3 linked regions of the Saccharomyces cerevisiae S288C genome follow. The gene in region 1 interacts genetically with each later gene. Each region holds a gene or a part of one and is shown in the gene's direction. Other genes may lie near its edges.

Region 1 (3,790 bases):
AAGAGTAAGGGTTCCCGATGGGTTTCAAATCAGGTCCAATGGATGAGGGTCCTAATTCAAAGAACAGCCCGGTTAGTGAAGAACAACCTGGACCCCCGTTCAACCAAAGGATGACCGGATCCTTTGCAGGATCGTTTCTACTTTCAAAAGTCCAAAAGAAGAAATGCTTGTCCTCGTCTTCCACATCCAAGTAACCCGTGTACTGTGTGACATTTGGGTCAATGCCCAGGATTTTAGGGTCCTTAATCTTGTTGACACGAAGCTGATAGTTTTCAATTGCGTCATTCTTGACCACAAAGTCCCAGTCTTTCTTCGTTTTGATTGCTTCAGGGAATTTTGGCTTAGTGGAAGTTTCAAGGCTCATAACCTGGTTTGGGTACAAATGCTCTATTTGGGCCCAAGCGTCCAATACATTGGAGTCCAACTCCTTCAAGAGATGATCCAGGTCGAGGTCCAAACCAAATTTTTCCGCAGCTTGCAGCAAAACGTCCTTATCTAGACCCAACGGTCTTTGCAATGAGATGGCCTTAGCGAGTGTAGTGGACAGGCCTAGTCCACATAGTAAACTGGTGAATGCTTTCATAGCGTATGTATACTTTAAGTTGAGTAGAAAAGAAACAATCTCTAGTGAGTATTCTTTCTCTCTCTCTCTCTTGTCTTGTTAAGACTAGGAGGGAAGACGAAAAGAATTATTTCGGAGCTTTTTTGCTGGCATTCTTATCTCGTGCTTTTATTAGTGGGCCCCTTCTTTGAGACCCCGCGGGTGATATGGCCCCTGTCTCAATGATGGATAAAGTTGTTGGAAGCAATTACCAAGACAATCACAAACGAAGGTTGCTACCGAAGTGTACTGGATGACCAACATCGCTATGATTAAATAAGACTATACATAATAGACAAGGGTGGCGCGGCTCCATTCCCAGGGAGACACAAACACGAGGTAAGTCTCAAAAAACCGAAGTTTCGCTCTAAAACTGCACGTAAAGGTCGTGGTATTGACTACAACCATTGACTGTTACATTGTGTAGAAGAAAGGTCCTCACATACTGCTCTGTCAATATGGCTTCTTGTGCAGAAGGTCAATATGTACTATTTCCATGAACCCACAAAATAAGGGAAAAAAAACACTGGAAATAACCGCCACACATACCGTATAAAAGTACATCTCTTTATACGAGTTACTTACTAGACCCTAACCAATGCCTTCAAAAAACAGGACAGACCCTAAAAACTACCATAAGAGACCTAACATATGTATCATCATATACGGAAATCGATTTCGCGTATTTTTTTTTTTTTGAGGCGCCATGATTTCTTACACGGTTTCTTTTTTTTTTCCTTCTTTCCTTCTTGCTTCTCTGCTAACAAATTTTTCACTCATTCTTTTTTATAGGGGCATATTGCTGCGGTTAACTGTAGTGAACGAAAGTAAGATTGAGAAAATATAGTACTTAAGAAAAAGAAAAGGAAAAATAAAAAAAATTCTTTTCAACATCATCGAGTAGCACAGTATAAGAGCGCTCTAACCTTCTGCCTGGCCTCCAATATACACATTTTGCTCGTGTAGGGTTATTTATCCTTTTTTCTTCCTTCCCACCCAAAAAAAAAAAGCAATGGCACACATCCCAGAGGTTTTACCCAAATCAATACCGATTCCGGCATTTATTGTTACCACCTCATCGTACCTATGGTACTACTTCAATCTGGTGTTGACTCAAATCCCGGGAGGCCAATTCATCGTTTCGTACATCAAGAAATCGCATCATGACGATCCATACAGGACCACGGTTGAGATAGGGCTTATTTTATACGGGATCATCTATTACTTGTCCAAGCCACAACAGAAAAAGAGTCTTCAAGCACAGAAGCCCAACCTATCGCCCCAGGAGATTGACGCGCTAATTGAGGACTGGGAGCCCGAGCCTCTAGTCGACCCTTCTGCCACCGATGAGCAATCGTGGAGGGTGGCCAAAACACCCGTCACCATGGAAATGCCCATTCAGAACCATATTACTATCACCAGAAACAACCTGCAGGAGAAGTATACCAATGTTTTCAATTTGGCCTCGAACAACTTTTTGCAATTGTCCGCTACGGAGCCCGTGAAAGAAGTGGTCAAGACCACTATCAAGAATTACGGTGTGGGCGCCTGTGGTCCCGCCGGGTTCTACGGTAACCAGGACGTTCATTACACGTTGGAATATGATTTAGCACAGTTCTTTGGCACCCAAGGTTCCGTTCTGTACGGGCAAGACTTTTGTGCCGCACCCTCTGTTCTGCCTGCTTTCACAAAGCGTGGTGATGTTATCGTGGCAGACGACCAGGTGTCATTACCAGTGCAAAATGCTCTGCAACTAAGCAGATCCACAGTCTACTACTTCAACCACAACGATATGAATTCGCTAGAATGTTTATTAAACGAGTTGACCGAACAGGAGAAACTTGAGAAACTGCCCGCCATTCCAAGAAAATTTATCGTCACTGAGGGTATTTTCCACAACTCGGGCGATTTAGCTCCGTTGCCTGAGTTGACTAAGCTGAAGAACAAGTACAAGTTCAGACTATTTGTTGACGAAACCTTCTCCATTGGTGTTCTTGGCGCTACGGGCCGTGGGTTGTCAGAGCACTTCAACATGGATCGCGCAACTGCCATTGACATTACCGTTGGGTCCATGGCCACCGCGTTGGGGTCCACCGGTGGTTTTGTCCTGGGTGACAGTGTTATGTGTTTGCACCAGCGTATTGGTTCCAATGCATATTGTTTTTCTGCCTGTTTGCCGGCTTACACCGTCACATCCGTCTCCAAAGTCTTGAAATTGATGGACTCCAACAACGACGCCGTCCAGACGCTGCAAAAACTATCCAAATCTTTGCATGATTCCTTTGCATCTGACGACTCCTTGCGTTCATACGTAATCGTCACGTCCTCTCCAGTGTCTGCTGTCCTACATCTGCAACTGACTCCCGCATATAGGTCTCGCAAGTTCGGATACACCTGCGAACAGCTATTCGAAACCATGTCAGCTTTGCAAAAGAAGTCCCAGACAAACAAATTCATTGAGCCATACGAAGAGGAGGAAAAATTTCTGCAGTCCATAGTAGATCATGCTCTTATTAACTACAACGTTCTCATCACAAGAAACACTATTGTTTTAAAACAGGAGACGCTACCAATTGTCCCTAGCTTGAAAATCTGCTGTAACGCCGCCATGTCCCCAGAGGAACTCAAAAATGCTTGCGAAAGTGTCAAGCAGTCCATCCTTGCCTGTTGCCAAGAATCTAATAAATAAAAATAGAAAGCCAGTATATGCACACGCACATATATATATAAATATTTATACAATAATACAAATAATCGTAACATCATCTCTGTCAAATTGACGTGGTGCACGGCGCCCAGAGAATGCGCTAAAAATTTTCGGATCCGAAATTTTCTTTCCTTTTACCATCGAGGCAAAGCAACCTGTATTATTTATTTGTTTATTTATTAATAGAAAAGAAAGGAGTACTTTCGTGGTACGCTTTCTTGAGCATTTTCGGTTTCACTAGGCAGAGAACTAACACAAGAGACACAGCAAACATCAAACAAGGTTAAAACAGCACACCAAGGCAATATGATGCATTTTAGAAAGAAATCCAGTATCAGTAACACGAGTGATCATGACGGAGCGAACCGTGCCTCAGATGTCAAGATTTCTGAAGATGACAAGGCAAGATTGAAGATGCGTACTGCTTCCGTTGCTGATCCTATTCTAGACGCTGTGCAGGAAGCCCAACCTTTTGAACAAGC
Region 2 (3,931 bases), on another chromosome or scaffold:
CTAACGTAACCGGACAAAGCGTAAGTGATGTATTCACCTGGAATGGCGCGGCCTTCTTCATCAACCTTGGCAACGTTGATTTGAACAGAAGCGTGGTCATCGGCTTTGATGATTCTGTTGGTAGCAGAACACTTTCTTGGAACATATAATTCAACCTAGTAAAAAAAGAAATTATTCAATGTTAGTACATTTGCGCTTATATTCTTGTAAAATTATTCTGCACATGAATGAAAGAAAAGTTCTAAGAGTAGTTCTGGAATATGGAAACCCACTAATTCGGAATTATGATGTCTTTTCAGCATATCTCTCTTGGGATTCCAATTTTGTCGTTAAAACGCCACATTTCTTAGAGATGTGTACTTAGACCACACATGATAAAGTATCAGGTAACACTTGTGCCAATTTAAATGGGTTATTTGCATTTTCTTGAATTTGATGTATTACTAACCAATATGATTATAAACCCATGTTGGTCCCACCCTATTTGTACCACTAATCTTGCACACTTAACTTATTATAATTTTATTTTTCTGTCGATGCTCCCTTGTCTGTCCACGCTTACTCAGTCCTCTTCTTTCTTCCTTTGCGCGCCATCATCTGCTATAATTTACGTACTAATTGACCCTTATCGTTTTCCATTTTGGCTTATTGATATTCTTTTATTTTTTTATCAGATTTTTAACTGAAATTCCCCTTTAAAGTCAAATTCGTTAACAATGTTTATAAAACTTTCAATCCTATAATCCTCAATTACTAGTTCTTACATTATACAGAGCCGAGATTCGCTTCAAACGGACCCACTAGCCAGCTGGTATGGTTCCCACCACCGATGAAGAGAACCAGAATAAAGGCAGTGGTCTCACTAGCGAACTCGCTCGAAGCGTGCCCACCAGCTCCCGGCGAGAGACGCGGCGAAACATAAAGCATTTATTTCATTCCTTAAAAGTTATGGAGATGTATGGATGTATAAAGTGTACGGGTGTAAACACATTGTCGTCAAAAGGTAATCTCCCCAGAAGTTTTCACTCCTATATAGAAACACGGATACAACCTCGATAGTGCTTTCTTTGTCCCATTTTATTATGCTACTTGTTGCATTATTTTTGGTTTTTCAAGCCTACGTTTTGGACTCTCAGTCCCTGATGCGGATAAGTATTTTACATAATTTACGTTACTATGGCAACAGTACATATGTAGAAAAGTGAAAGAGAAAAAAAAAGAAGAGAGAACTTAAGTAGATGTATGTTCAACCAGCTATTGTTGGAACCAAATATGTGCAAAATATCGCCAGATATTCATTTCACGAATAACAAGGCAAAAATGTTGCAAAAAATGTTTCTTAGTACCAAATTGAACTACTGCCTTTATCATGTGACTGAACTACGCTTGGCTGTTTTGTTTTTCCCTCACCTTGCGCTAAAGTTGTCGTCACATTATAAGGGCAGTAAGAAAAAGCAGAGTTTAAGAAAGTTTGTTTACATACAACCATCACGTAGAGGAAATTCTTCAAACCTACCAGACCAGCGGACACAAGCCATTTGTATAGATAAAAAATGGTAGATGGACTGAATACCTCGAACATTAGGAAAAGAGCCAGGACTCTCTCTAACCCCAATGACTTTCAAGAGCCTAATTACTTGCTGGATCCCGGTAATCATCCCTCAGATCATTTTCGAACTCGAATGTCCAAATTTCGGTTTAATATTAGAGAGAAGCTGTTAGTGTTTACCAACAATCAATCATTCACATTAAGCCGCTGGCAAAAGAAGTACCGTTCTGCGTTTAATGATCTCTACTTTACTTATACTTCCTTAATGGGATCGCATACCTTCTATGTTCTGTGTTTACCTATGCCCGTGTGGTTTGGATATTTTGAAACAACAAAAGATATGGTTTATATCTTGGGATATTCTATCTACTTGAGTGGTTTTTTTAAAGATTACTGGTGCTTGCCCAGGCCTAGAGCACCTCCATTACATCGAATTACGTTAAGTGAATATACAACGAAGGAATATGGTGCTCCAAGCTCCCATACAGCAAATGCAACAGGAGTGAGTCTCTTGTTTCTCTACAACATCTGGAGGATGCAAGAATCTTCTGTCATGGTCCAACTATTGTTGTCATGTGTGGTTTTATTTTATTATATGACTTTGGTTTTCGGTAGAATATACTGTGGGATGCATGGCATATTAGATTTAGTAAGCGGTGGGCTCATTGGAATAGTGTGTTTCATTGTTAGGATGTATTTCAAGTACAGGTTTCCGGGTTTACGCATTGAGGAGCATTGGTGGTTTCCTTTGTTTAGTGTGGGATGGGGTCTTCTTCTTTTGTTTAAACATGTTAAGCCCGTAGACGAATGTCCTTGCTTCCAAGATAGTGTTGCGTTCATGGGCGTTGTGTCAGGTATTGAATGCTGTGATTGGTTGGGCAAAGTGTTTGGAGTCACCCTGGTGTACAATTTGGAACCTAACTGTGGCTGGCGGTTAACCTTAGCCAGGCTGCTGGTGGGCCTACCGTGCGTTGTTATCTGGAAGTACGTGATCAGCAAACCGATGATCTACACGTTATTGATCAAAGTTTTCCATCTGAAGGATGACAGAAACGTTGCGGCAAGAAAAAGACTGGAGGCCACGCACAAAGAAGGTGCAAGCAAGTACGAATGTCCATTATATATTGGAGAGCCCAAGATTGACATTCTAGGTAGATTTATTATCTATGCTGGCGTTCCATTCACCGTTGTAATGTGCAGCCCCGTCCTATTTTCCCTCTTAAATATAGCATAAAACAAAAGGAACAAAAAAAAAAAAATAGACAAAATGTAGTGTAAATGTATCCGTTTCTAAATTAAGTACTTATAAAAAAATATGTAACTGAAAAAGTCATGTTGTATAAAAATTTGAGGCACCGTACCAGGACCCCAAAAGAAGAATAGGTTAAAGTCATCATCATTAATAAACCAGGAAAGAAAAGAGCATAATTAAGATACGCCTACAACTTTGGCGCGTGAGCCAAGTGTCTTCTGGTAGCTAGTGAGGCACTCAAGGGACCATATGTCTTGGCATTTTCTCTATATTCCTTAAAAGAGTTGAACGAGTTGCCCGGAGATCTCTTGAAAATAGTGCTGGCCATGGCGCTAGCGGCTATCCTTGAGACACCCGCGGAGGCGGCTGAAGAAGAGACGGCGGCGGCTAATCTGGTACTTTGGGCGATCATTTAATACGTTTATTTACTGTCTTATGAATGTAATATTTAAACTTGTGCGTAATCATTAAAACAAAGGTGAAAAATCACATTAAACATCTCCCTACATTACTTTCGGTTTATTCTTTTATATGTGTGAAACTTTCTCTCTGCACCAGGAAGTGGTCATGCTTGATGCTCGGCTCCCACCGGAAAAACTAACTTGCGGGCGGGAAATTGATCCCTGAAGTCATGCCCCTCACCTTCATTCGTGGATCTTATCTCCAGAGCAACCAAATGTGGAAATGGCATGACACCCCCCCACACACGTTCCGCCCACTTTTTTTCAAATGTGTGACACACCCATACCCCATAATGTTGCACGTGACAGGTTTGTATCACGTGCTTCTTAGGGTTTTGTTTTAGGTCTGAGACATTTTAGGGTTTTTTTTCATCAAGTCTAGATCGTTTGTAACGAACGATTGCTCCTTTTTTCTTTTTTTTTTGCTTTTTTTTTATACTCACCGTTTACTGTCATTATGTCTCTCGAGAAACTGGGCGTGTGTGCTAACCAAGACTGGATCACCTTTACATAGCACTTATTGCATTTCTTGGTGTTTCGTACCCTACAATTGACAAAAGTAATTTTGTCGTTCATTTCTTCATCGATTCTTTCCTCTTTCAACAACTTCCTTATTTTATCTTGGGATCGTAACTTCACTTAATTAATCACGATTCCCATATTCGTTAA
Region 3 (4,776 bases), on another chromosome or scaffold:
TACTATATATTCAGGTAAAATACAAAAATTATAACATTTTTAAAACTTTTTTTTTTTGAAAGTCCTTCTCGCTTTAGGATTTTTTCCCATTAAGATTATGATGGTTTCATGTATGTGTCAGTTAAAAAAAATATGGCTAAGTAGCAATGAAACGAACCAAGAAAATGAAAACAATATATAGTGCTGTTGAAATAACAAAGACATTGGTATATATTTGTAAAATGTCTGTTAAATGTTTTTTATCTCAGGTTCTTGCTTGTCTTTGGTAGAAGAAATTATAGTAAACAAACAAACAAACAAACAAAAAAAAAAAAAAAAAAATGGTCGCAATCTCAATGATTTGGTTTTTTACCAAGCGTATGCCCAGAATATTTGCATTAGCTTTTAATTTAATTTCAATATTTCTTTTGATTTTTCTTCTCATCGGCTGTTACAACCCGTCAAATCAGTCAACATTTCTAGTGAAGTATAAATTTGATGACAACTCACCTTTTTATACGATCATAGAGAAATCATATGAAAAATCAAATACAACTCTGGGCTTGGAGGAAGTCATTATAAGATCCGGTTACATGGGTGTTTGTATTGATAACATTCCCTCCCAATATAGCTCTTACAATAATATGACTACATTCTCCAATTCAATTTGCTATGCAAGAAAGAATTTAAGCTCGGTTCCCTTATACAGAGACTTGGAAATTCAACTCTCAAATATTGCATCTTCCAGCTCCAAAACCCAATCAAGCGTTGTCTTGAACATTTTGAAGTTAGCCCAATTAACTTCGGTTAATGTTATACATCCATATGTCTTGATGGCAACTGTAATCCTAACAATCCTAATGTTTCTATTTATTCTGTATGTAACTGTCCCTAAGTTACCATTCAAACTAGCGGTTAATAAATTTCTACTGTTGCTAAGTTCAACTATAGTTTTGACATGGGGTATTGGTGCGATGTGGACTCATGTAGGGATAAATGCAAGTTACAGATTGGTTCCATCATCAAGTATGAATATAATCACTGTCAAGAAGGGCAAGAAGGCAGCAGTAATGGCTTGGTTTAGCTTTGCATTCCTCCTTTTAGACAGTGTGGTTTTATGGTTAATATTTTTAAGGGATAGGAAAAGCTTGAAAGATGAAATTGATAATGTTCCATGTGCCCAAAATAGGTACAATAACTACTCTTCGGATTCATCTACATTGCATTCCAAAGTTTAGTTTTATCCTCAAATAAACATATAAGTTTTGAGCGGATATTTCAGAATGTCAATTTTTAAAAGTAAAAGGAGAAAAAATTTATATAATTCACGATTAACATTATATAATGTGATGAACTACTTAAAAAATTTAACGTTCGATAATTAAGTAACAACAGAGAAAATATGAGCTTACCTAAACTCTAATCATTACCGTCTGTTTTATTTACTGTCACCTTGATGAGCGACTAAAAAGATAGAACGCGGGTTTTTCGCGCAATGTAACAAAGCTCCAGAAATTTTTTATAAATACTAATGTTATAGCAAAAAAAATAAGGACCTTAAAGTCGTAAACTAAATTGAAAAGCCCAAATCATTCAAATTCTATATCGTTGAACTTTTAATAGGCTGCGAATACCGACTATGTCTCCCATACAGGTTGTTGTCTTTGCCTTGTCAAGGATTTTCCTGCTATTATTCAGACTTATCAAGCTAATTATAACCCCTATCCAGAAATCACTGGGTTATCTATTTGGTAATTATTTTGATGAATTAGACCGTAAATATAGATACAAGGAGGATTGGTATATTATTCCTTACTTTTTGAAAAGCGTGTTTTGTTATATCATTGATGTGAGAAGACATAGGTTTCAAAACTGGTACTTATTTATTAAACAGGTCCAACAAAATGGTGACCATTTAGCGATTAGTTACACCCGTCCCATGGCCGAAAAGGGAGAATTTCAACTCGAAACCTTTACGTATATTGAAACTTATAACATAGTGTTGAGATTGTCTCATATTTTGCATTTTGATTATAACGTTCAGGCCGGTGACTACGTGGCAATCGATTGTACTAATAAACCTCTTTTCGTATTTTTATGGCTTTCTTTGTGGAACATTGGGGCTATTCCAGCTTTTTTAAACTATAATACTAAAGGCACTCCGCTGGTTCACTCCCTAAAGATTTCCAATATTACGCAGGTATTTATTGACCCTGATGCCAGTAATCCGATCAGAGAATCGGAAGAAGAAATCAAAAACGCACTTCCTGATGTTAAATTAAACTATCTTGAAGAACAAGACTTAATGCATGAACTTTTAAATTCGCAATCACCGGAATTCTTACAACAAGACAACGTTAGGACACCACTAGGCTTGACCGATTTTAAACCCTCTATGTTAATTTATACATCTGGAACCACTGGTTTGCCTAAATCCGCTATTATGTCTTGGAGAAAATCCTCCGTAGGTTGTCAAGTTTTTGGTCATGTTTTACATATGACTAATGAAAGCACTGTGTTCACAGCCATGCCATTGTTCCATTCAACTGCTGCCTTATTAGGTGCGTGCGCCATTCTATCTCACGGTGGTTGCCTTGCGTTATCGCATAAATTTTCTGCCAGTACATTTTGGAAGCAAGTTTATTTAACAGGAGCCACGCACATCCAATATGTCGGAGAAGTCTGTAGATACCTGTTACATACGCCAATTTCTAAGTATGAAAAGATGCATAAGGTGAAGGTTGCTTATGGTAACGGGCTGAGACCTGACATCTGGCAGGACTTCAGGAAGAGGTTCAACATAGAAGTTATTGGTGAATTCTATGCCGCAACTGAAGCTCCTTTTGCTACAACTACCTTCCAGAAAGGTGACTTTGGAATTGGCGCATGTAGGAACTATGGTACTATAATTCAATGGTTTTTGTCATTCCAACAAACATTGGTAAGGATGGACCCAAATGACGATTCCGTTATATATAGAAATTCCAAGGGTTTCTGCGAAGTGGCCCCTGTTGGCGAACCAGGAGAAATGTTAATGAGAATCTTTTTCCCTAAAAAACCAGAAACATCTTTTCAAGGTTATCTTGGTAATGCCAAGGAAACAAAGTCCAAAGTTGTGAGGGATGTCTTCAGACGTGGCGATGCTTGGTATAGATGTGGAGATTTATTAAAAGCGGACGAATATGGATTATGGTATTTCCTTGATAGAATGGGTGATACTTTCAGATGGAAATCTGAAAATGTTTCCACTACTGAAGTAGAAGATCAGTTGACGGCCAGTAACAAAGAACAATATGCACAAGTTCTAGTTGTTGGTATTAAAGTACCTAAATATGAAGGTAGAGCTGGTTTTGCAGTTATTAAACTAACTGACAACTCTCTTGACATCACTGCAAAGACCAAATTATTAAATGATTCCTTGAGCCGGTTAAATCTACCGTCTTATGCTATGCCCCTATTTGTTAAATTTGTTGATGAAATTAAAATGACAGATAATCATAAAATTTTGAAGAAGGTTTATAGAGAGCAAAAATTACCAAAGGGTTTGGATGGAAATGACACTATTTTTTGGCTCAAGAATTACAAGCGCTATGAAGTCTTGACCGCTGCTGATTGGGAAGCCATCGATGCACAAACAATTAAATTATGATTTGATGTTCCTGAATTAGGATAAAGTATTTTTCCTTGCACGAGAGTACGTATGTAAACGTAATATTGATAAAGAATCAAAAAAAGTTTTATATCTATCTATATATGTACCTAATAACATATGGAAAGGATTATTTAAATTCAAAAAATAAAACAATAAAGTTTATAAACTAACCAAATTATTGTTAGAGTTGGTAATATTAGCACTTCAGTTAACTCAATACGATTGATCTTGAAACTATCGGTAACTGAATGGTTTGTTTCAGGATCACTTACGAATGATCCAGTGGAATAGTACCTTTCCATTAGAGCATCCTTCTCACTCCAAATTTTATACAGCCATTCTGAAAATTCATTCTCGTCCTCTAATGGAATATCTTTAACATCAAATGCTCTGATGTGAATATCGACTAACTTCGGGTATTTTCCTTCTAAAAATATGCTCTTCAGCCCATATATAAGCTCACCATATTCCTCCTGTTTTACACCGGAGTAGCCGATCGTAATATCATAAAGACTTTCAATACTTGGCTTCAACTTTTGTAACGAGTATCTTAGGCCTGTAGAATGAGGCAGTAGCACATTCTTGAATGGCTTTTTGCCTATTTTGGCAGCATATTTAGCACTTTTTTGCCTAGTATCAGCACTGAGATTTGTACCTTCAGGGAATAGGATAAGATTGTATGGCCAATGGATTTGTTTTGGATCAATAACCTCCGGATTCCATATGCTCTCTCCTTCCTCAGTTATGCGCTCAGGTGACTTTCCAGCAAGTGAGCCGGCGCCCCTTGCATTCGAATCAAGGCCAGCAAGGCTGTTGCTTAGGGTTATTTTGTCTTGTGCCCACTTTCTACTCATAAAAATGAAATTATAGTTTCTCATACCGAAACCGAGGATAGGAATGGAAGCCAACGATTTTTTTAAAATAATGAAGACATTAGCCCCTAAGTTCGATGTGTAAGCCAACCACCATAAAAATATCCAATCCGTGTATATTTGGTGATTGCAAATGGCCACCGAATTGGACTTTAGATGAGAAAGAATCCTTTTCTTCTTCAAGTCTAAAAAAAAAGTACCTTTAGGAACACTGGAATTTTCAGTGGTAATTCTCACTGCAGATGGTGCGACAACATGCAAAATGGATGATAC

What was found.
Region 2: mutations in LCB1 (region 1) and LCB3 together harm fitness more than expected from each alone (negative genetic interaction), as found in Saccharomyces cerevisiae (5 studies listed by BioGRID, with this or other methods).
Region 3: mutations in LCB1 (region 1) and FAT1 together harm fitness more than expected from each alone (negative genetic interaction), as found in Saccharomyces cerevisiae (4 studies listed by BioGRID).

Annotation. Positions count from the first base shown.
Region 1 is NC_001145.3:858,715-862,504, reverse strand, and holds LCB1 (serine C-palmitoyltransferase LCB1), read left to right. Parts: upstream 1-1,613; coding exon 1,614-3,290; downstream 3,291-3,790. Other genes in the region: carboxypeptidase C PRC1, read right to left, coding at 1-583; GSR1 (Gsr1p), read left to right, coding at 3,615-3,790. UniProt on the Saccharomyces cerevisiae protein: Component of serine palmitoyltransferase (SPT), which catalyzes the committed step in the synthesis of sphingolipids, the condensation of serine with palmitoyl CoA to form the long chain base 3-ketosphinganine.
Region 2 is NC_001142.9:156,635-160,565, forward strand, and holds LCB3 (sphinganine kinase LCB3), read left to right. Parts: upstream 1-1,553; coding exon 1,554-2,783; downstream 2,784-3,931. Other genes in the region: 40S ribosomal protein eS21 RPS21B, read right to left, coding at 1-155, 616-639; DPI8 (Dpi8p), read right to left, coding at 2,989-3,213.
Region 3 is NC_001134.8:316,648-321,423, forward strand, and holds FAT1 (long-chain fatty acid transporter FAT1), read left to right. Parts: upstream 1-1,618; coding exon 1,619-3,628; downstream 3,629-4,776. Other genes in the region: FIG1 (Fig1p), read left to right, coding at 321-1,217; CST26 (putative acyltransferase), read right to left, coding at 3,769-4,776. UniProt on the Saccharomyces cerevisiae protein: Acyl-CoA synthetase required for both the import of long chain fatty acids (LCFAs) (C14-C18) and the activation very long chain fatty acids (VLCFAs) (C20-C26) by esterification of the fatty acids into metabolically active CoA-thioesters for subsequent degradation or incorporation into phospholipids.